3 linked regions of the Macaca mulatta genome follow. The protein of the gene in region 3 binds, or shares a complex with, the protein of the main gene of each other region. Links are inferred from orthologs where the notes say so. Each region holds a gene or a part of one and is shown on either strand. Other genes may lie near its edges.

Evidence for each region.
Region 1: EIF4A3 (region 3) and MAGOH share a complex: the UniProt entries of both Homo sapiens proteins name them as parts of the ALYREF/THOC4-EJC-RNA complex. The link is inferred for Macaca mulatta from reciprocal best matches to the Homo sapiens genes EIF4A3 and MAGOH.
Region 2: EIF4A3 (region 3) and MAGOHB share a complex: the UniProt entries of both Homo sapiens proteins name them as parts of the mRNA splicing-dependent exon junction complex. The link is inferred for Macaca mulatta from reciprocal best matches to the Homo sapiens genes EIF4A3 and MAGOHB.

What each region holds. Positions count from the first base shown.
Region 1 is NC_133406.1:187,367,829-187,374,613, forward strand, and holds the start of MAGOH (protein mago nashi homolog), read left to right. Parts: upstream 1-2,511; 5' UTR 2,512-2,584; coding exon 2,585-2,672; intron 2,673-5,696; coding exon 5,697-5,755; intron 5,756-6,785. UniProt on the Homo sapiens protein: Required for pre-mRNA splicing as component of the spliceosome. Plays a redundant role with MAGOHB as core component of the exon junction complex (EJC) and in the nonsense-mediated decay (NMD) pathway.
Region 2 is NC_133416.1:9,992,628-9,999,671, reverse strand, and holds the start of MAGOHB (protein mago nashi homolog 2), read right to left. Parts: upstream 4,275-7,044; 5' UTR 4,225-4,274; coding exon 4,131-4,224; intron 1,235-4,130; coding exon 1,176-1,234; intron 494-1,175; coding exon 383-493; intron 1-382. UniProt on the Homo sapiens protein: Required for pre-mRNA splicing as component of the spliceosome. Plays a redundant role with MAGOH in the exon junction complex and in the nonsense-mediated decay (NMD) pathway.
Region 3 is NC_133421.1:89,832,661-89,839,617, forward strand, and holds the start of EIF4A3 (eukaryotic initiation factor 4A-III), read right to left. Parts: upstream 4,187-6,957; 5' UTR 4,144-4,186; coding exon 3,975-4,143; intron 1,481-3,974; coding exon 1,408-1,480; intron 1-1,407. UniProt on the Homo sapiens protein: ATP-dependent RNA helicase. Involved in pre-mRNA splicing as component of the spliceosome. Core component of the splicing-dependent multiprotein exon junction complex (EJC) deposited at splice junctions on mRNAs.

The DNA of each region.
Region 1 (6,785 bases), on a different chromosome or scaffold from region 3:
TTGTATGCTCCTTAACTTCCTCCTCTGCAAGCTCTGTAAAGAACTGTCTTGCCCAACATTGTATCCTCTCTCTCTGCACATGACACTCAGTGGATGCTCAATAAATGATGCTGAATGCAGGCACGGCAGACACACACAGACCATGCTCTTTCAGTTACACCACGTCTCATATCCAGAAACCTGGATTACTTTACAGCCTGACTGGAGTTGTGTGTCCTTTAAATTTCTCAACACTTTTGTTATTTGCCACATCTGAAGATCCCCAGATTCACTTATGATTTTTATAATTTTACTCCTGGAAAATAACCTTGTAGCAATTGCTTAATCCCTCTACACACTTAACTCTAATTACCACCTCAAAATTGTTGTGATGATTCGAAAAACAAGCACAGGTAATCCCATTCAGCCTAGGAGCTGACATTTATTAGGTGCTTGATGGTTCCCTTTTCTCTTTTTTTTTTTTTTTTTTTTTTTTTTTTTTTTTTTTAGATAGGGTCTTGCTTCGTCACCCAGGCTGGAGTGTAGTGGTATGATCATGGTTCGCTGCAGCCTTGACCTCCCAGGCTCAAATTATCCTCCTACCTCAGCCTCCCAAGTAGTTGGGACTACAGGTGTGCACCACCACACCTACCTAATTTTTAAATTTTTTGTAGAGACAAAGTCTCTCTATGTTACCCAAGCTGGTCTCAAACTTCTGGGCTCAAGTGATCCTTCTGCCTCAGCCTCCCAAACTGCTGGGATTACAAGTGTGAGCCACTGTGTCTAGCCCCCTTCTCTTTTATACAGTTCCCTTGTTACTACCAATATGCGGTGTTTTGTAATAAAAATGTCATGGTTTTATAGCAATTTACAGTTTCCGAGACATTGTTTCTTATAACAGTTCTGCTAGGTGTACGTTTTTATGCTCATTTTAAAGAGAAGGAAACTCTGAAGTCTAAAAAGTTGAGTCAGTTCACCTTTGGTTACAATGAGTCATTGTTAAAACAAAAGATTTTAACCAGTGTCCAATGGTTTTTTTCCCCCACCACACCTACTCTACACTCTGCTGCTAATGCTTTTTCAGGGAGAAAAGGACTCATTGTTAAGACTGGGGGCCATGCACGGTGGCTCATGCCTGTAATCCCAGCACTTTGGAAGGCTGAGGCGGATGGATCGCCTGAGGTCGGGAGTTTGAGACCAGCCTGGCCAACATGGTGAAACCCTGTCTCTACTAAAAATACAAAAATTAGCTGGATGTGGTGGCACGTGCCTGTAATCTCAGCTACTTGGGAGGCTAAGGCAGGAGAATCACTTGAACCCAGGAGGTGGAGGTTGCGGTGAACTGAGAACCAGCCGTTGCACTCTAGCCTGGGCAACAAGAGCAAAACTCTGTCTCAAAAAAAAAAAAAAAAAAAAAGACTGGGGGTAGGAATCAGAGACTGCTGTCCCGACTTACAGAATCTTATACTGTTCTAGTTGCCAGGCCCCAAGAATGATGTCATCTCAGCACTGTCTCTAGAACCATTCATTCTCTCTAAGTGTGGAACTTAGACGAGTGAGAGCAGGCTCCTATTAAATAATTATGATCTTGATTGCTCTGGCCCTACTCAACTGTAAATTTTTTCCAGAGCCAGAATGGCTTCACAGAGGACAACTTTGCTCTGAAAAGAGTCTCTTTGGTCAGTGGTCCTCAACTGAGAGCTTTACAAAGAGTACCAATGCCCAGTTCCAGCGCTGGAGATTTTAATTGGCTTGGGGTAGAGCCCTGGCATCAGTATTTTTAGAGGCTCCCCAGGTAATTCCAATGTGCAGCCAGGCTGAGAATCACTGCTCGGTAAGTGGGATGACTGGGGAGTGGGAGATCAAATACTCTAACTTCTCACAGCACCTATTCTAGAGATCAGTGGGGCAGAAAGATAGAAATAAAAGGTGGAAAAGGACGAAATGGGTAAGTGTGGGTGAACTAGTTCCAGGGAAACGGCAATCTCCACTGTGGATTCAGGGAAGGCGTCACTGAGGGCTTTCTTAACAGTTCAGGTCAATGGAAGCCATCTTGAGGCACACACATCGTGCGCGGCATCCTCCGGGAAGGTCGGGTCATTTCACCCCATTTTACTGCCGAGATGACCTAGGTCCAGAGACGGTAAAGAGCGGTGTACGACTCACACAAGTCGGGGGTCCTGTGAACTGAGGTTGAGCCTGGCGGGGGCAAGGCTCGGGGTGTTCGGTCCGAGATCTTTAAGCGAAGTCACCAGACCCCGCGTTCAAAGCCCAGAGGTAGGCAGGCGGCTGGCTCTCGGCCTCAGGCCGGGAGAGAACCCAGCGGGTACCAACCTCAACCTCGCTCCCGCGTCCAGGTGGAGAAGCGGAGCTGGTTGGCCCCGCCTCCGGGTTAAACAAAGTTCGTTACCTCCTAGGCGTGAGAGGGTGTGGCAGTCTTGTTGTCACTTCCGGGCGAATAGGTTAGCTAGAAGGAACCCCTCCATTACGCGACGGCGTAATCTGACGTCACTTCCGCGCGCCGCCGCAAACGTCAGTGTCGGGCGCAGACCGCAGCAGTGCGGCTTGCTGTTGGAAGTTCAGGCTCGGTTGTCTTTTGGGAGCCATGGAGAGTGACTTTTATCTGCGTTACTACGTGGGGCACAAGGGCAAATTCGGCCACGAGTTCCTGGAGTTTGAGTTCCGACCGGATGGTAAAAGCAGCCTGCCGCCCGCCGGGAGCGGGACCAGGCCTTGGGGCGGGCGAGTGGGGAGGCCGAGGGTCGGAAATCTGTGGGGAACTAGAGGAGGAAGGGGCTGAGACCTGTGCAGTGCGGATCTGAAAGGAGCGCCACTGTGTCTGCTCCACGGCGTCGTTTTATCCATACAACAAACGTTGGCTGAACGCCCACTGTGTGCCAGGCTCTGTTCCACTCTTTGGGGATACGACAGCGAAGATAGACAAACTTCCTCTCTCGTGGAACTTGTGTTTTACTGCTGGGAGAGAGATCATAAAAAGATGATTCCGGATAGCAGTGAGTGGTCAGAAAATATGGTAGAATCGCTGGATGGGCTGCTTTTAGATAGGTTGGCCATTAGAGAGCTCTAATGGTATATTGCAGCTGAGCCCTAATTAGCAAGAAGGACCCAGCCTTGTGAAGCTCACAAGGAAGACCATTCTACCCAAAGGGAATACCAGAAGTCAAGGCTGCAGGGCGGGAATGAGCTTAGGCATGTCTCAGGTGGTCAGTGTGATTGAAGAGTGGTGAGCTGGGAGATGGCAGGAGATGATGTCGGATAGGTAGTAGGAGCCGCACCTTGTAGATCTTTATAGACCATGGTAAAGAGTTTGGACTTGGAAGGCTTTTTTTATTTTATTTATTTTTTTTTTTGAGACGGGTTTCGCTCTTTTTGCCCAGGCTGTAATGCTATGGCGCGATTTCGGATCATTGCAACCTCCGCCTCCCGAGTTAAAGCGATTCTCCTGCCTCAGCCTCCCGAGTAGCTGGTATTACAGACACCCACCACCACGCCCGGCTAATTTTGTATTTTTAGTAGAGACAGGGTTTCACCAGGTTGGCCAGGCTGGTCTCGAACTTCTGACCTCGGGCGATCCGCCGGCCTCGGTGTCCCAAAGTGCTGCGATTACAGGCGTGAGCCACCGCGCCTGGCCGGGCTTGGAAGGTTTTAAGCAGAGAAGAAATGTGATCTGTTCTTGAAAAAGCATTCTGGTTATTGGGTGCGGAATGGGCAACAGTGAAAACAGGGCTATTGATTAGGAGACTGTTGTCAAGACAAGAAAGATGTTGGGGGCCAGTCGCAGTGGCTCACGCCTGTAATCCCAGGACTTTGGGAGGCTGAGGTGTGCGGATAACTTGAGGTTAGGAGTTCGAGACCAGCCTGGCCAACATGGTGAAACCCCGCCTCTACTAAAAATACAAAAATTAGCCGGACGTGGTGGCAGATGCCTGTAATCCCAGCTGTTCGGGAGGCTGAGACAGGATAATCGCTTGAACCTGGGGCGGAGGTTGCAGTGAGCTGAGATAGTGCCAGTGTACTCCAGTCTGGGTGACAGAGCGAGACTGTGTCACAAAAAAAAAAAAAAAAAAAAGATGTCGGTTGGGACTACAGAGATAGTAGAAATGGAGAGAAAGATTTAGGAAACTGTTGGAGGCAGAATCAACTGGACTTTGATCGTTGATAGGATTTTTTTGGCGGAGGCACTGTGGTGAAGGAAAGAGGAATCAAAGATGACAGAAAACATCCATTAAGCGGGCCACAAAGATGTATCTGACAGGCCCCGACTGTGAGGGAGATGGATTTGTAAGCAGGGACCAAACAGCGTATTAGGTGTTGTGGTAAAAAGAAACAGAGGAGACTTGCAGCAGAGAAGGGGCACCTAGCCAAGCCTGAGGGTCAGAGGAGGCTTCCTACATAAAATGATGGGAGGAGGGGATGTGAGGTATTGGTTAGGAGACCAAGAAGAGTCAAGAAGGCATTTTAGACAGCATGCAAAGAGGCTGAAAACCAAAAAGTGCTTGGGATGTTTCAGGCAGAAACCAAGTTGTTCGACTCCAGCTGTGTGAGAGAAGAATATTGCAGGAGTGAGGCTGGAAAAGCAGGCAGGGGCTTTGCTTAGCCGTATGCCATGTTGAGGAGTTTGGATTTTTTTTTTTTTTTTTTTTTTGAGATGGAGTCTTGCTCAGTTGCCCAGGCTGGAGTGCAGTGGCACGATCTGGGTTCACTACAAGCTCCGCCTCCCGGGTTCACGCTATTCTCCTGCCTCAGCCTCCTAGGTAGCTGGGACTACAGGCGCCCGCCACCACGCCTGGCTAATTTTTTACATTTTTAGTAGAGACGGGGTTTCACCGTGTTAGCCAGGATGGTCTCGATCTCCTGACCTCGTGATCTGCCCGCCTCGGCCTCCCAAAGTGCTGGGATTACAGGCGTGAGCCACCGCGCCCGGCCGGATTTTAACCAGGAAGGCAGCGGAAAGCCATTGACTTTATCAAAGTATTAGAGTAACCTAATCTGATAGATCTGTTACCACATCACCTTGTCCACTATATGGACAGTGAACTGAATGTGAAGAAACTTGAGGCAGAGAGACAGCACAGAGACCGTTGGAATAAATTCACTGGGCTCATCTCACATGTATGTCTTCTAGTCTACATGTCTTCTGTTTCCTTCTATCTTCTCCTCATCCCCACCATGTATTCACATTAACCTGTTAGACGCACACATGGACAAAGGGTCTTGTGTACCAAATGTGCTCAGTGATAAAAGCAACAACTTTTCCATCACAGAAATAGAGTGTGGCACAGTCACATGATAATATATGTAAACAGCATCCTACAGTTTTCAAAATGTTTTCACAACTCATTTGAGCCTCAGGAGGTCCTATGTGCTGGTAAGTTATCATTTACTCTGCCTGTTTTCAGGACATTCACCTGCAAAAATGTGATTCGACAAAGTCAGAAAAGAGCCTGCCTGTGTTTTTACCTCACCTGAGCTGCTTTTTGCAGTAGTTGAGTGTCAGCTGTATATTTGGCTGTTTAAGCCTGAAGTGAAGAACTGAAAGACTAGTATTGTTGAACTACCTTAAGAGTAAATAATAAATGTCTTAGACACTTTGAGCAAGTTGGATACATTTTAGGCAACTGCCGATAGTCTTGGTATGGTATTGATGCTTTATTCATGTTTTTATTATATGTTGAATTTGGCTTTTGTCCCCACAGGGAAGTTAAGATATGCCAACAACAGCAATTACAAGAATGATGTCATGATCAGAAAAGAGGTATGCCTTCTGAGAGGCCTTCATTTTCTACATTTCAGCTTTTTGTCTTGCATTGTTTTTGTTGTATCTAGTATTGAAAGGTAAAGAACAGGGAGAGAGACACATGTCTGTAGACAGCTTCTGGATTATTTCCCAAATCATCTTTTAGTTGGGATTTTTTTATTTTACAATGTGGAATCAATTACTGGTAACCATTGACATACCTTGGTTTGAACCCTGAGTCTGCTGCTTACTACCTCATGTGACAGTGGGCAAGTTCCTGGCTGAACTTGATTAAATCTCTGTTTCTTCACCTGCAAAAACAGGGAAAATAAAAGCTACCTCCCACTCCCAAGTGCTGTCATAAAATTAAATGTGTTATACTTAAAGTGCTCTATATATTCCCTGGCACATAGTACACAATGGAGAGCTATTTAATTTGCATCTGAGTGGGAAAGGGAGCATGGGAAAGCAGTTGATATCATTGAATGCATGTTAGATGTCAGGCATGGCATCTTATTTAACCCTGATTATAAGCCCATATGATGGGGGAGGGTATTATAGCCCCCTTACAAATAAGAAAATAAAGGCCCAGATATTAATTATGAGACTTGTTCAGAGTTACCCCTGCTAGTAAGAGATACAGCAGGAATTCCCAATTAAAGGAATTCCCCAGTAAAGTTTGTATTCTCCTCTCTGTGATTTCTACTACATCATTAAGGCTTCATCAAAGCTACTCTTTTAACCACTCTGCCACCTTTGAAAATGTCTTAGCATATATTTTTCATACTGTTGTTTTAGCTATCAGTTTCATGCTTATTCACACATGTCAACATTCTCACTATTTTTTTACACAGGCATATCTTTTCAAATACATTTTGCTCCTCAGGAGCGTATTACCTAGTTAAGAATAACTGGCCGGGCGCGGTGGCTCACGCCTGTAATCCCAGCACTTTGGGAGGCCAAGGTGGGCGGATCACGAGGTCAGGAGATGGAGACCATCCTGGCTAACACGGTGAAACCCCGTCTGTACTGAAAATACAAAAAAATA
Region 2 (7,044 bases), on a different chromosome or scaffold from region 3:
CTCTGGGGTATAGGGATGCAAATAAGAATTTTAAAAGTTATGATTTGGCAAAAGTAAATTTTACATAGTCATATTCTTAATAAAAGTGATTAACACACAACAGAAATTATTCATAACACTGCACTGTGAAAGCATCCTAATGTTGGCTAGGGTGACTACAGAGAAAGATATCTAAATTTAGAGCTATGCACTGACTCCTTCACTACTAGGAGGTAGCACAGAAAAACGGAACTAAAAGACAAAATTAAAGAGAATTTACCAGGTGTCTATTAAATGGAAAGCCAAAGAATCAACTTAGACTCATTCAAAATAAATAAGGGGAATCATAATAGTATTATCAATTTTTAATATTTATGCACTTAAAGAATCACTAAATACAAACCTGTCGGCCAACCCTATCAGGGGGAGGCCACAAAGCATCATCTTCTTTTGTAATTTCACTGTCATCAATAATTCTCTTCAGTTCTTCCATTACACTCTTGTGCACATAAGCCTAAAAATTAATCATAATAAAATTGGATAATGTCCACCTATGTCACCCCTCAACTCAGAAAGAAATAAGAGTTACAAACTCTGAATATTCAAATAGAGGAATATAGAAAAATTTAATTGATTCCAAAAGTAGAGAATGAGAGAGAATCATTTATCCTTGTTATATTACTTTTCTTCATCTCTTGCCCTTTCCTCTCACATTTATTTTTCCCTCTTCTCATCATTACCCGTCTTTGAAACACTGTATTCTGCCTTTGTAACATTAAGATCCAAATACCCCCAAGTGGTTAGATCACAAGATCTATAAGGTGAACAGTAATAAATGCAAGTACACTGAAGCAGGAGAATTGCTTGAGCCTGGGAGGCAGAGGATGCAGTGAGCTGAGATCACGCCACTGCACTGCAGCTTGGGCAACAGAGCGAGACTCTGTCTCAAAAAATAAAAATAAAAATAAAAATAAATAAATAAATGCAAGTGTAGTTCACAACAAGGTTAGTTCTCTGAACCTTCTCATTCCTATGGATGCAACCATTGTATCTAATTTAAATGGCAACTCTTTCAATCTGTAAATTGCCTTCTTCTTTACAATATAGCCTTAGATGTACTTTTGTAAATTCAACATAGACTTGAAGAAAATGGGCTAAATGCAAAAAAAAAAAAAAGACATTCGAATAGAACTTACCTCTTTTCTGATCATGACATCATTTTTGTAATTGCTGTTGTTGGCATATCTAAGCTTTCCTGTGGGAAATGGAAAAAAATCAATTTACAATAGCAAAAACTGCTAAAAAAAATTAATGACATCATATACAATTTTAAAGGTAAAGACCATTTTATACTACTTTTATTATTTCCTCCCTCCTTGTGTAAAATCATTGTTAGACATGTAGACAATAAATATTTGCTGGTTAAGTTTGCTGAAGTTGAAGATAGCCAAATATTTAAATAGTCTATGCCTACAACATATAGATATAGGGTCATTTTTACGGCCTATTTTCTTAAGCTACATCATGAACTAGAAAGAGAATCTGCACTAACATTCAAGTTTGTTATATGTATGTATTGGTGTTAAGTGCATTACACAGAGAATTTAATCTAATCTGTAAAACAATCCTAAAAATCAGGTTTTATTCTCTCACCTATTCATAAGAGAGAAAACAAAGTTAAGTAACTTAAACATGGGAGATTCAGACCTAGATCTACTTTCTTTTAATACTCAGGCTTTCTCCACTACAAAAAAATGTTCCTTTTTTTCCTTCAAATGTATGCATACAATTATATTGTAGACATTTTAGAATTATGACTAAGAAGGATACAAACGATGCTTCTGGATCGAAGTTGATGAGTTTGTTAGCTAGTTTATATTTAATTTTAATCCATCATGATTTGTGTATTATCTGATGTATGCTTCCCCTTATGGCTAGTCAGTTGCCCAGACACAGCTATAATGTGCAGCAGTTACTCTAAAATGATAGAAATGCCAGTCTTTGATGGCTTGGCACCAGGCGTAGTGGCTCACGCCTGTAATCCCAGCACTTCGGGAGGCCGAGACAGGTGGACTACCTGAGGTTAGCAGTTCGAGACCAGTCTGGCCAACATGGAGAAACCCCATCTCTACTAAAAATACGAAAAAGTAGCCGGGCATGGTGGCACATGCCTCCAATCCCAGCTTCTCGGGAGGCTGAGGCAGGAGAACCGCTTCAATCCAGGAGGCAGAGGTTGCAGTGAGCTGAGATCGCACCACTGCACTGCAGCCTGGGTGACAGAGCAACACTCTGTCTCAAAAAAAAGAAAGAAAGAAAAGAAAGAAAAAAAGAAAAGAAAAAGAAAAAGAAAGAGAAAGAAAGAAAGAAAGAAAGAAAGAAAGAAAGAAAGAAAGAAAGAAAGAAAGAAGGAAAGAAAGAAAAAGAAAGAAAGAAAGAAAGAGAAAGAAAGAGGAAGGAAGGAAGGAAGGAAGGAAGGAAGGAAGGAAGGAAGGAAGGAAGGAAGGAAGGAAGGAAGGCAGGCAGGCAGGCAGGCAGGCAGGTCTTCGGGAGACTCAATATTACCAATAGAAGAAGTATGTGTAACAGTGCAGTGGCAGATACATTGATTAGAACCACTGTTCTAGCATAAAACTTCCCTGATAATATTCAGGTGCTTAATTTATGTGACCTGCTAAAAGTAATAGAGACAAGCTTGACGGTGTTCACAGGCAGAGGAACTGAAAATAATACTACATAAAGAATAGATGAATTCAGGTAAATTTAGCTGAATTTATGGGGAGAGTAAGGTCGAATACAGTGATTAAGGTTTCTAAATAATTGCAGGGCTGGCACGGTGGCTCATGCGTGTAATCCCAGGACTTCGGGCGGCTGAGGCTGGTGAATCTCTTGACCTTAGGGGTTTGAGGACAGCCTGGGCAACATGCGGAAACCCATCTCTACAACAACAACAACAACAACAAAGGAGATGGGCGAGGTGGCACTGGCCTGTATTTCCAGCACCTCGGGAGGCTGAGGTGAAGGATCACTTGAGCTTGGGAGGCGGAGGTTGCAGTGAGCTGAGATCGTGCCACTGCACTCAGATCTGAGTGACAGAGTGAGACTCTGTTTCAAAGTAATAATTGCAGGACTGTAGTTCACGTGAGTTCTGCCTGAAATGCTTGATACTCTTCTCCTTTCCTAATATACGTTTCTCCTCTAATTTTTTATTCTTGCTCTCACAGAACATTGTCCAAAGCCTGCTTATTAATATACCTACTGCTTTATAGTTAAATGTCTGTGTCCCCACCAAGACAAATCTCTTTGAGTTAAATTTGTCTTACTCATTAGTGTACCTTCAAATTTTGTATTTGCTTGTTGCCCAGCAAAAAACGTGCATTTAAAAAAAACCAAAACATATATATCCAAATGAACTTTCTTGTTGCAGGTAGGCAGGACCAATGTAACATTCTCTAATAGCGCTGTCAGAAAACAAATTGTTGCACGCTACTGGGGTAGCAGTTTCACCTCGTCCTCTGCTCTCACTGCTCTGGAAGTCTGTTTTTTTCTCTCAAAGGCCAAGTCTCTCATTTCGAGACTCATCTCAAGAGTGTCTTCCTCTAGGAAGATTTTCCTGACTCCCTCCTGTGGAACTTTACATCTCCCCTCTTTTTTGGTACTCTTCATGCGTCCTGTGGTGAACAATTATACGTAGACACCTAAAACATATTATTATTCTCATTTGTTAACACGTCGGGCTCCTCCCCTTCAAAGAACACACACAGCCTGAATGAAGAAAAGGTACTGGTCACCACAAGATTTTATTCATCCATTGGACCACCCGCTGATGGGGGTGTTTTCAAAAAAGTGCTAGCATTTTTAATCCAGGTCAACAATCTACAGAGTCCCTTCTGGTGCAGTTACAGAATTCTGATTACTGTAAGTTCGACTTTTCAGTTTGCGACAGGATTAGCTTTAATTTATTGCAATTAGTTCTCTTTCATTTATAAAACCAACTTAGGCCTCCTCTATTCTTAAGCTCCTATTTCCTTCGAGGGAAGCAGTGGCCTCCGCCCCCTGTACCCTCCACACCACCCGGCCTCCCCTCGCCTCCTCCACGGCCTCTCGGTCTCGCTCCCCTTTCCCAGCACCGCGTGCCGTGGGCCTCTTCTCACCGTCCGGCCGAAATTCGAACTCCAGAAACTCGTGCCCAAACTTGCCCTTGTGCCCTACGTAGTAGCGCAGGTAGAAATCGCTAGCCATAGCCATTTTTGTCCCCGAGAAGCCCGCCGAAAACCCAGCCAACGTGTCCCCCGGCGCCTTGTAGTCACGTCATCGCGCGGAATAAGTGCGTCACCACAGGCGCTTCTCTTCCGCCTGCCGTGCAGTCCTGGACTAAAGCATGAAAGCCGAGTCTCGCGTGAGAGGCCAGTTGGTGCTGAAGGGAGAGTCGCATGCCGTGACTTTCTCTTTACTAGGATTGGAGGCACATTATTTTCAAAATAAAGATTACATTATATTAGCAAATATTAGAAATGTGAGCATATGATAGTATTTTTTATCGACTTAGAGCTAAATTAGGTTTGCAAGTGGCTTTTACTTTTCTGGTCTCCCAGTCCTCGGGGCGTTTGTGAGGTGGGTGTGGCTCTATTCCCCCTTTAACTGGGAGCTAAATAAAGATAAAGCTTAGAATAGAGATGGCAGACCGGGAATATAAACCATTTTTCTTACTTGATTTCTAACAGGGTGCTTTCCCCTTTGAATAACGATTGGTAGTTGCCCCGGACCTATAAGCCTATAATAATAGAGACAAAGTCAAAGGAATCCATCACAGCAAAGAACTTAAGAGATCTCATTTGATCTCTCAAGAATTCTGTGAGCTTGGCAATGTAGATTGCTGTATATGCCTTAGGCTGAAGAACAAACAGGCTTAGAGATAGTCACTAGCCCGAGGTTAGGTAGCTGTAAGTGTTGGGATTGAATCCCAGGTCTTCTCACCACCACTTTCTACTAAAAATCACTGACGGTGATTTCAGTGGGACAAAACTGGCTTAAAGTCTTAAAACACACACCCCCTACGCCTGAAAAACCCTGACTGTCACCGTGCTGTTTTTTAACAGCAGAACTTCTATGGTTCTTAATTCATTCAGTAAGGGTTAACTTTTAGTAGCCTGTGGAGTTTTGGCAATTTGACTTAAGATACAACAATGGTTTAGCCCATTACTGTTTCTCGCCAGATATAATTAAATTGGAGGAATGAAAGAATGCTCCATTGTGGCATAGTTTTTAAGGTAAGGGAAAGACTTTTACACAAAGTCTGCTTTTTAAATATTATTGATCACCCTTTTGTTATCAACACAGAGAGTAATCCTCTCTGCTGGTTGACAACCTTCAGTGATTTTTGTAGAAAGTGGTGGTGAGAAGACCTGGGATTCAATCCCAACACTTACAGCTACCTAACCTCGGGCAAGTGACTCTCTAAGCCTGTTTATTCATCAGCCTAAGGCATATACAGCAATCTACATTGCCAAGCTCACAGAATTCTTGAGAGATCAAATGAGATATGTAAAATAAGCTTTAAATTTTATAAAACGTTAGTTTTAACAAACATTTCCTATGTGACAGTTTGAAACTAGAAATAAAAAGGCATTTGCACTGGTAGTCTAGAAAAGAAAGCAAACTTGTAAGGCAAATATCGGCACAATGGAGCAATTGCTATAATTAAGAATATATGTGCCATTCTGGCCAACATGGTGAAACCCCGTCTCTACTATAAATACCAAAAACTTAGCTGGGCGTGGTGGCGTGTGCCTGTAGTCCCAGTTGCACGGGAGGCTGAGGCAGGAGAATCGCTTGAACCTGGGAGGCAGAGGTTGCAGTGAGCTGAGATGATCCCACCGCACTCCAGCCTGGGCAACAAGAGCGAAACTTCGTCTCAAAAAAAAAAAAAAAAAAAAAAAAAAAAGGAAAGGAAAAGGAAAAGAAAAAGGAGGAGGAGGGAGGGGGAAGGGGAGGAGGAAGAAGATGATACGTGGCCGGGCACAGTGGCTCATGCCTGTAATCCCAGCACTTTGGGAGGCCAAAGGGGGCAAATCACCCGAGGTCAGGAGTTCAAGACCAGCCTAGCCAACATAGCAAAACCCTGTCTTTACTAAAAATACAAAAATTAGCCGGTCTGGTGGCACGCGCCTGTATTCCCAGCTACTCATGAGGCTGAGGCAGGAGAATCGCTTGAACCCGGGAGGCGGAGATCGCGCCATTGCACTCCAGCCTGGGTGAGGAAAGCAAAACTTCGTCTATATATATATATACATATATATATATATATATACACACACACACACACACATACACACACACATTTATATATAAATATATATTTTATATATAAATGTGTGTGTTTGTGTGTGTAAAACATGCTGGTAGTACAGCAGAGGAATCAAGAGCATTCTATTGCAGAGTAGGTAAATTTGTAAAAAGAGTATTGGAGAAGGACTATCAACGGAAGTATTTGAATTGGACCTTGAGAAGTAAGTTCTGTTTATGTTCAGTGGGATGAAAAAGCATTCCAGGCAGAAAATGACCTGAGCAAAGACAGTGGGTGAAATGCATATTTTGGGAACACCACGAAATTCGGTATAGCTAGAGCATAAGGTTTAAGTAGAATGACTAAAAAGGCAAATTGAGCCACTTTTCCTTGAATCCATGTTAGTACTTATATAACTATTAGTATAGAAAAATGAATCAATCCCTACAATAGGCCACCGTTTTGGAAAGTACGTAAGAAACAGCAAGCACCATGTTTTATCACTAGGGTGACTAGCCATTCCAGTTTGACCAGGACTGTGGAGTTTACTGGGACATGGGACTTTCCATACCTGGAAACACCTAGGAAAACTGAGATGGGTTGGTCACCACACTTATCACGAGAATAATTCACAGAAATTTGAGCACTGTATTCCATAGTATCTCTGGAAATATCAGCTGTAATCCATTTTGTTGAATTATATGGAAAGCCTCATTCAATATTAGATTCCCTAATGTCTCTCCTTCAGGTTTTTGGCACATGTGGCAGTGTTCATCTTCATG
Region 3 (6,957 bases):
CATATCTTAACACAAAAAATGTTTAGGCCGGGCACAGTGGCTCACGCCTGTAATCCCAAGGCTTTGGGAAGCCAAGGCAGGGAGACTGCCAGGAGTTTGAGAGCAGCCTGGGCAACACAAGGAAACCCTGTCTCTACAGAAAATAAAAAACGTAAATGATGATGTGTGCCTCTAGTCCCAGCTACCTGGGAGGCCGAGGTAGGAGAATCACTTGAGTCTGGGAGGTTGAGGCTGCTGTGAGCTGTAATCACACAACTGCACTCCAGCCTGGGAGACAGAGTAAGACCCTGTCTCAAAAAAAGTAAAAAATTTAAATTAAAAAAAATTTTTTTAAAAAGCATTATGGTATTATCCTAGAAAAGCTCCTGCCCTATTCCCTGGGCGGGGGAAAGAATGCTGACCTCATGGAATTTTCCATAGAAACCCAAGAGGACCAAGTTCGAAGAGCTTCTGGATGGCTGAACACAGACAGTGGAACACAAGGAGGTTCTGGGAGGCTGCACCCCCGCCCCCATATCTGTATCCTTTGCAGCACCCTTTATAATAAACCACTAAATGTGTTTCCCTGAGTTCTCTGAGCTGCTGTTCCAGCAAATTAATCCAACCTAAAGAGGGGATCATGGGAACGCCAACTCGAAGCTGCTTGGTCAGAAGTTCTAGACATCCAAACTTATAATTGATGCCTGAAAAGAGGGTGGTTGAGGGGACTGAGCCCTCAACCTGTGGGATATGGCCTGTCTCCAGGCAGATGGTATGAGCTGAACTGGAGGACACCCAGCTGGAAAACCCCCACACAAGTCATCTTCTGTGCTGATGACTGTGGTGGTGGTGTGAGAGCAGAGGAAAAGCAGTCTGTTTTTCCGAAATTGTGTTATATACAACTCCACCTGCCAGCAAACCACCAAGCAAAGCTGGCTAAGAAAATGAAAGCCTTGGCCGGGCACAGTAACTCACGCCTGTTATCCCAGCACTTTAGGAGGCCAAGGAGGGTGGATCACCTGAGGTCGGGAGTTTGAGACTGGCCTGACCAACATGGTGAAACCCCATCTCTACTAAAAATACGAAAAGTAGCCAGGCATGGTGGCGGGCGCCTGTAATCCCAGCTACTTGGGAGGGTGAGGCAGGAGAATCGCTTGAAACAGAGAGGCAAAGGTTGCAGTGAGCCGAGATGGTGCCACTGCGCTCCAGCCTGGGCGACAGAGCGAGACTCCATCTCAAAAAGAAAATGAAAGCTTTCTATAGTAGAGAACAGAAATTTAAAAATTATTAAACCCTGTGGCTAAAGTCAGGGCACGTGTTGGTACTGAGTGTGTAGAAGCTGAGGGAACCAGTCATCCCAGAGCATCTAACTGCACTGCGCTGCCCAAATTTGCATCCAGCCCCGCGCCGCACCCCAGGACAACTTACTGCGCGATGACATCTCTCCCTTTGATGATCTGCTTGATTGCTCGTTGCTGGATTGCTGATGGTTTTTCAAAACCTGCAAATAAAAACAAAAAAATAGCTCTCGCTACAATGACAGCACAGAAACCCTGTACTGTGAGCTCCTCAGGGGCAGACGTGGTTTGCTGTTTGAACCTGTCCTCCCGCCTAACCCAGTGTTCAACATAGCAAGCTCTCAAAACCCAGGGGCTCAATGAATCGGACTAAGTGGATTTCTAAACTAACATGAGATATTATTTGTAAAGACAAATCTCTATTTTAAAAAAACCACCAAATTGTAGAATACAGAAAAATAATAATGATAATCTTCTGGGTGTGCAGCATCTGGAAGTGCCAAAATGTTCCTGGCAGTTACTGCAGTAGAGGGGTGAAAAGCAGCTAACTTTTTACTCTAATTACTTCCTTAGGTTTGACTGGATTACAAACAACCTATACTACTTTTTAAATTAAAAACAAAAACAAAAAAAACCAGGAAAGTCACTGTAGCCATTCTTCTCTCCTCCTAGCTAGCATTAAGTCTGTGTGTTGCTGACAGGTCTACAACTCTATTTAACCTGCTTGGGTCACACTGTGGGGTGTCCTACGCTGTTCTCCTGTCTGGATGCAGCTCCCTAACTACCATACCATCTCTCCTGCGAAGCAACTACTACACCAAAGGGGGAGGCTATTTTGAAGAAGAACCATGTGTTTTTCAAGTAAGTAAATAAAACTTTATGTACAAAACTCTAGTTCAGTTATTTTTTGGTAGTCTCTTAAATGTAGCTCTGTTCAGTTCTGGGGCATAGTGAAAAATGAGAAACAAAAGAAAATGTAGCACAATTTCCCATCTTAACACAAAAGCAAATATAGCAGATGATTTAAACTCTTCATGAAGAGCAAGCACATGGATGGGAAACTAACAACAGTGTCTTAGGGCAGGGACTGCCTGAGTGCCAGGAAACCAGGTGGGGCTGTCAGCCTCGCTGGAAGGCTGGCTGAGATGCTTTCTCACCACCCATCCTCAGCACCTTCGCCTCACTTTGTCCAAACTGTTGTGGCATCAAGAATTACAGGATAAGACCAGGTGGGGTGGCTCACACCTGTAACCCCATCACTTTGGGAGGCTGAGGCTGGCAGACCACTGAGGTCAGGAGTTCAAGACCAGCCTGGGCAAGATGGCAAAATCCCATCCCTACTAAAAATACAAAAACTAGTAGGGCATGGTGGTCGGCTACTTGGGAGGCTGAGGCAAAGGAATCGCTTGAGCCCCAGAGGCAGAAGTTGCAGTGAGCCGAGATCATGCCACTACAGTCCAGCCTTGGTGACAGAGCAGGACTGTCAGAAAGAAAGAAAAGAGAACTACAGGATAAAAAATGTCCCTGTCCCAAGCATTAAACACAGGCCATTTACCCCAGATGCTGGCCATTCCCATCTATGTGCCCAACCCAACCTCTTCTCCAGGCTCTCTCTCAACTTCCACAGATCTTTCAAACATACCAAGAGACAACTCCTGATTCTGACTCTCTGGAGTGCTGCCTACCTAGCCAAATGTTTGCAGCATCAACCACTGGTTACTGAAAACACTAACCCTCCTCCTTCTGTCGCTCACAGTCAATCCATCAGCCAATGCTGTCAGTTCCCTGGCACTCCATCTCCAAGGCAGCACAATCCTCTCTTCCCTGAACTGGAGCAAAAGCTTCCCAACTCTTGTTTCCTCTCCTGCCCTGCCTCGCCTCACCTGAAATTCACAGACACCCAGAAGACTCTTTAAAGCTGTAAATGTGATCGTGTCACATAGCTACTTACTACATTCCAGTGGCTTCCCACTAGATTTCCAAATGAAATTCAAATTATTCGTCACCCCTACACGTCTTTGCTAAATCTGGCCCCTGACTAGCTCTCCAAAATCCCACCACAGGGGACTTCTTTCAGTTCCTGGAATGCAGCTGGCTAAGGGCTGCAAAGCCCTGGCACCAGCTGTTCCTTCTGCCCCAACTGCTCTTCCCTCCTCTCCTAAAAGTCTCCTTCATCCATACCTCTGCTCAAATGGCACCCCCTCCTGCGAACCCCCTTACCTCTCTGCTTTACTAATTATCTCCTCCTTCCCAGGCCCACTCTATTCAATTACCTAGCTTCGGGTTCTTCCCAGCAACAACCACTGCCTGGGCAATCTGACCGCATGCTGTCCCCTCAAAGGAAATTCAAAACCCGTAAAGGCGCAAACCCATCTGGTTTACCGCCAAAACCCCAGTAACTAGAAAAGTTAGTAGGTACAAAACAGTTATCTGCTGAATGAACGACTCCGAGGTGCCTCGAAGCGGCTGTAGCCCCCGACGGACCCAGCGCCGAGCTCTGCACAGGGGACACACAGCGAACGCGCCGACACAGCCAGGCGTGAGGGCAGGGGTGGGGGTGGGGGTCGCACGTCACTGGCCCCCGAGCCTCGACCCTGACCACGACCTCCGGAGTGCAGGGCCGGCCCGGGAGTCACCAGTCGGGCTCTCAGCCCCCGGCTCGCCGCCAGCTGGCCCCCGCGGCCCGCGCCCACTCACCGTAAGCGTAGATGCCCCGCAGTAGGTCCTCCCGCAGGCCCATGGTGTCGAACGTGGGGGTCACATCCACCTCCTCGCTGGTCTCGAATTCCACTTTGGTCATGTCTTCCTCTTTGAGCAGACGCTTTCGCGCCGAGCCCGAGGTCGCCATCGTGGCCGTGGTCGCCATGATTTAGAGTCCGCGGAAGAGCACAGCGCGCGCCACAGCGTAAACCACCTCCCGACTCCTCTCGCTGCCGGGGCCGAGAACTGACGCCTTAGCGTGAGAAAGCGTAAGACGTGCGTACGTGCGTATGTGCGTGCGTACGTGCGCGCGAGGCGACCCCGCCTCTGGGGCGGGGCACTCTTCGTCACTTGAAAGGGAACTGGGCGTTTGCCGCAGGAAAAAGTAAGGTGTTTCTGCTCTCGCGCCATATGCAGTTCTCGCGGGATCTCGTTGAGGGCGGGGCACCCGGTTCCTTATAAAAGGTACGGAAGCGGGTGGATTTCCAGAGTTGGTGGCGTTTTGTGGCGGTTGCGGGAGTTTGGGACGCGAAGGCTCTTTGAGCGGCGTGCGGCCCTGAATCCCCTGACAACAGGCTGGGGGCCGCCAGGGGCCTCCAGTCCGGGTGGCGTCGCCACACAGCCCTGCCTCGAATGAAGAGGACGAACACGGGTCCTCTCTCGGGCCCGCATTGGGTGGACTGCGTCGCGGACCCGTAGTGGGGGCGCCCAGCTCGCCGGGGAGATTCGGGTGGAAACCCTCACGGCCCCCGGTGGTGGGCGCCGGCGCGGCGCTGGGCTCGGGCGGGTCTGCGCTGGGGAGGGCCAGGGCCTCTAATGCCGGTGTCTTTCTTTGGGGACGCGCCTGTGTGTGTTTTCGCCGTTTGCCTGGTCAGTTGGAGACAGGGTCTCTCTTTGTCGCCCAGGCTGGAGTGCGGCGGTGGGATCAGGGCTCACTGTAGCCTCCGCCTCTGGAGTAGCTGGGACCTCAGGCGCGCGCCATCATGTCCGACTAATTTTTTTAAATTTTTTGTAGAGACGGTGTTGGGGGAAGGGTGGGGGTTAGGGTTGTCCAAGCTGGTCTTGAACTCCTGAGCCTCAGGTGATCCGCCCGCCCTGGCCTCCCAAGGTGCTGGGATTACAGACATGAGCCACTGTGCCCGGCAAGCAGCTGTTATAAAGTAAAATACACGCAGAGCCTGCAATTTACTCTTAATGAAAGCCTCCTGTCTAGACGGTGTTAATAATGCGTGTCCTGCAGCAAAGATAACCCAGACGGGATCATGTAATTGCCCAGCAGAACGGTAATCAGTTGCGCATCTTAACCTGCTTTTAGTTCATTTGTTTTGAGACAGAGCCTGGCTCTGTCGCCCAGGTTGGAGTGCTATGGCACGATCTCCGTTCACTGCAGCCTCCACCTCCCAAGCCCAGGCGATCCTCCCGCCTCAGCCTCCAGAGTACCTGGGACCACAGGTGCCGCTGCTACGCACAGTCCTAACCACTTTCTTATCTGACACTTGAAGTGCTTCTACATACCCAGCTCCTCTAATGCACTTTGAAGCAGCTCCATCATCTTTGAAGGGCAGTTCACGCTGTTGAGAATCATGTTTTTAACTGTGGGAAAAGTAAAAATTTCCACGAGCACCAGCTGTGTCATTTTTTTTTTGGACGGAGTCTTGCTCTGTCACCCAGGCTAGAGTGCAGTGTCGTGACCTAGGCTCACTGCAAGCTCCGCCCCCCAGGTTCATGCCGTTCTCCTGCCTCAGCCTCGCGCCACTACACCCAGCTAATTTTTGTATTTTTAGTAGAGATGGAGTTTCCTCATGTTGGTCAGGCTGGTCTTGAACTCCTGACCTCATGATCTGCCCACCTCGGCCTCCTAAAGTGCTGGGATTACAGGCGTGAGTCCGGCCCTGTGCTTATGATCACAAATCTGGCTTACATGGCTGGGCACATCTTTAATCCACGGCTTCTTTCCAGGAGTGCTTGAAAGCTCTCCTTTTATGAAGGTTAATTTTAGTTAAAACCAGAGCATCCTGGCCAGGCCCAGTGGCTCACACCGGTAATCCCAGCACTTTGGGAGACAGAGGCAGGTGGATCACGAGTCTAGGAGTTCGAGACCAGCCTGGCCAAAATGGTGAAACCCCATCTCTACTAAAAAAAAATACAAAACTTGACTGCCCGTGGTGGCGGATGCTTGTAGTCCCAGCTACTCTGGAGGCCAAGGCAGGAGAATCTCCTGAACTCCGGAGGTGGAGGTTGCAGTGAGCTGAGATTGTGCCACTGCACTCCAGCCTGGGTGATGGAGACTGCATCTCAAAAACAAAAAACCAGAGCACCCTTTTATCAAGAAATTGGTGGATTGCAGTATTTCAAGGGTGAACAAGTAAATGCAGCCTTCTCCAAGAGCAAATCTCATTCTGGCACCAGAATTTATCCATGACAGATAATTGACCCGAGAAACATTCCTTGTAAGGTTGCTGGTGTCACGTAACCAAAATACTAAGTATTGTAAGTTCTGATACCTTCTTCACTCTACAAAGGATGGTTCAATGCCTCACACTGTTTGCCAGGCGGTGCTCTAGGGCTTTGTTGTAAAATACACACAGACTTCAATGACAGTGTAGGAGAAGAATGTCAAATACCTTGTTGACTAAAGAAATACAGTTAAGCTTTTAAAGAATTAGTTTTATTCAGAAGCCTTACCAAGGACCCTACACCCCAGCCCCAGCCCAGGAGCTCAAGCGATCCTCCTACCTCCGCCTCTGAAATTGCTGGAATCACAGGTGTGAGCTACCAGGCCTCACCTTGTTCAAAGTTTTAAAATCTAATCCACAAACTGCTTAGGTTTGTTTTCCTTCACCTTTTTGTGACTAGATGATCTAACATTTTACACCGTTTTCCTGGAAATGTTTATGCCAGATGTCTGAATACACATCTGAAAGGTCTCTAACTTTTCTGGGGAGCAATAGCTTTTTAGCCCAGAGTCTATGAAAATGAT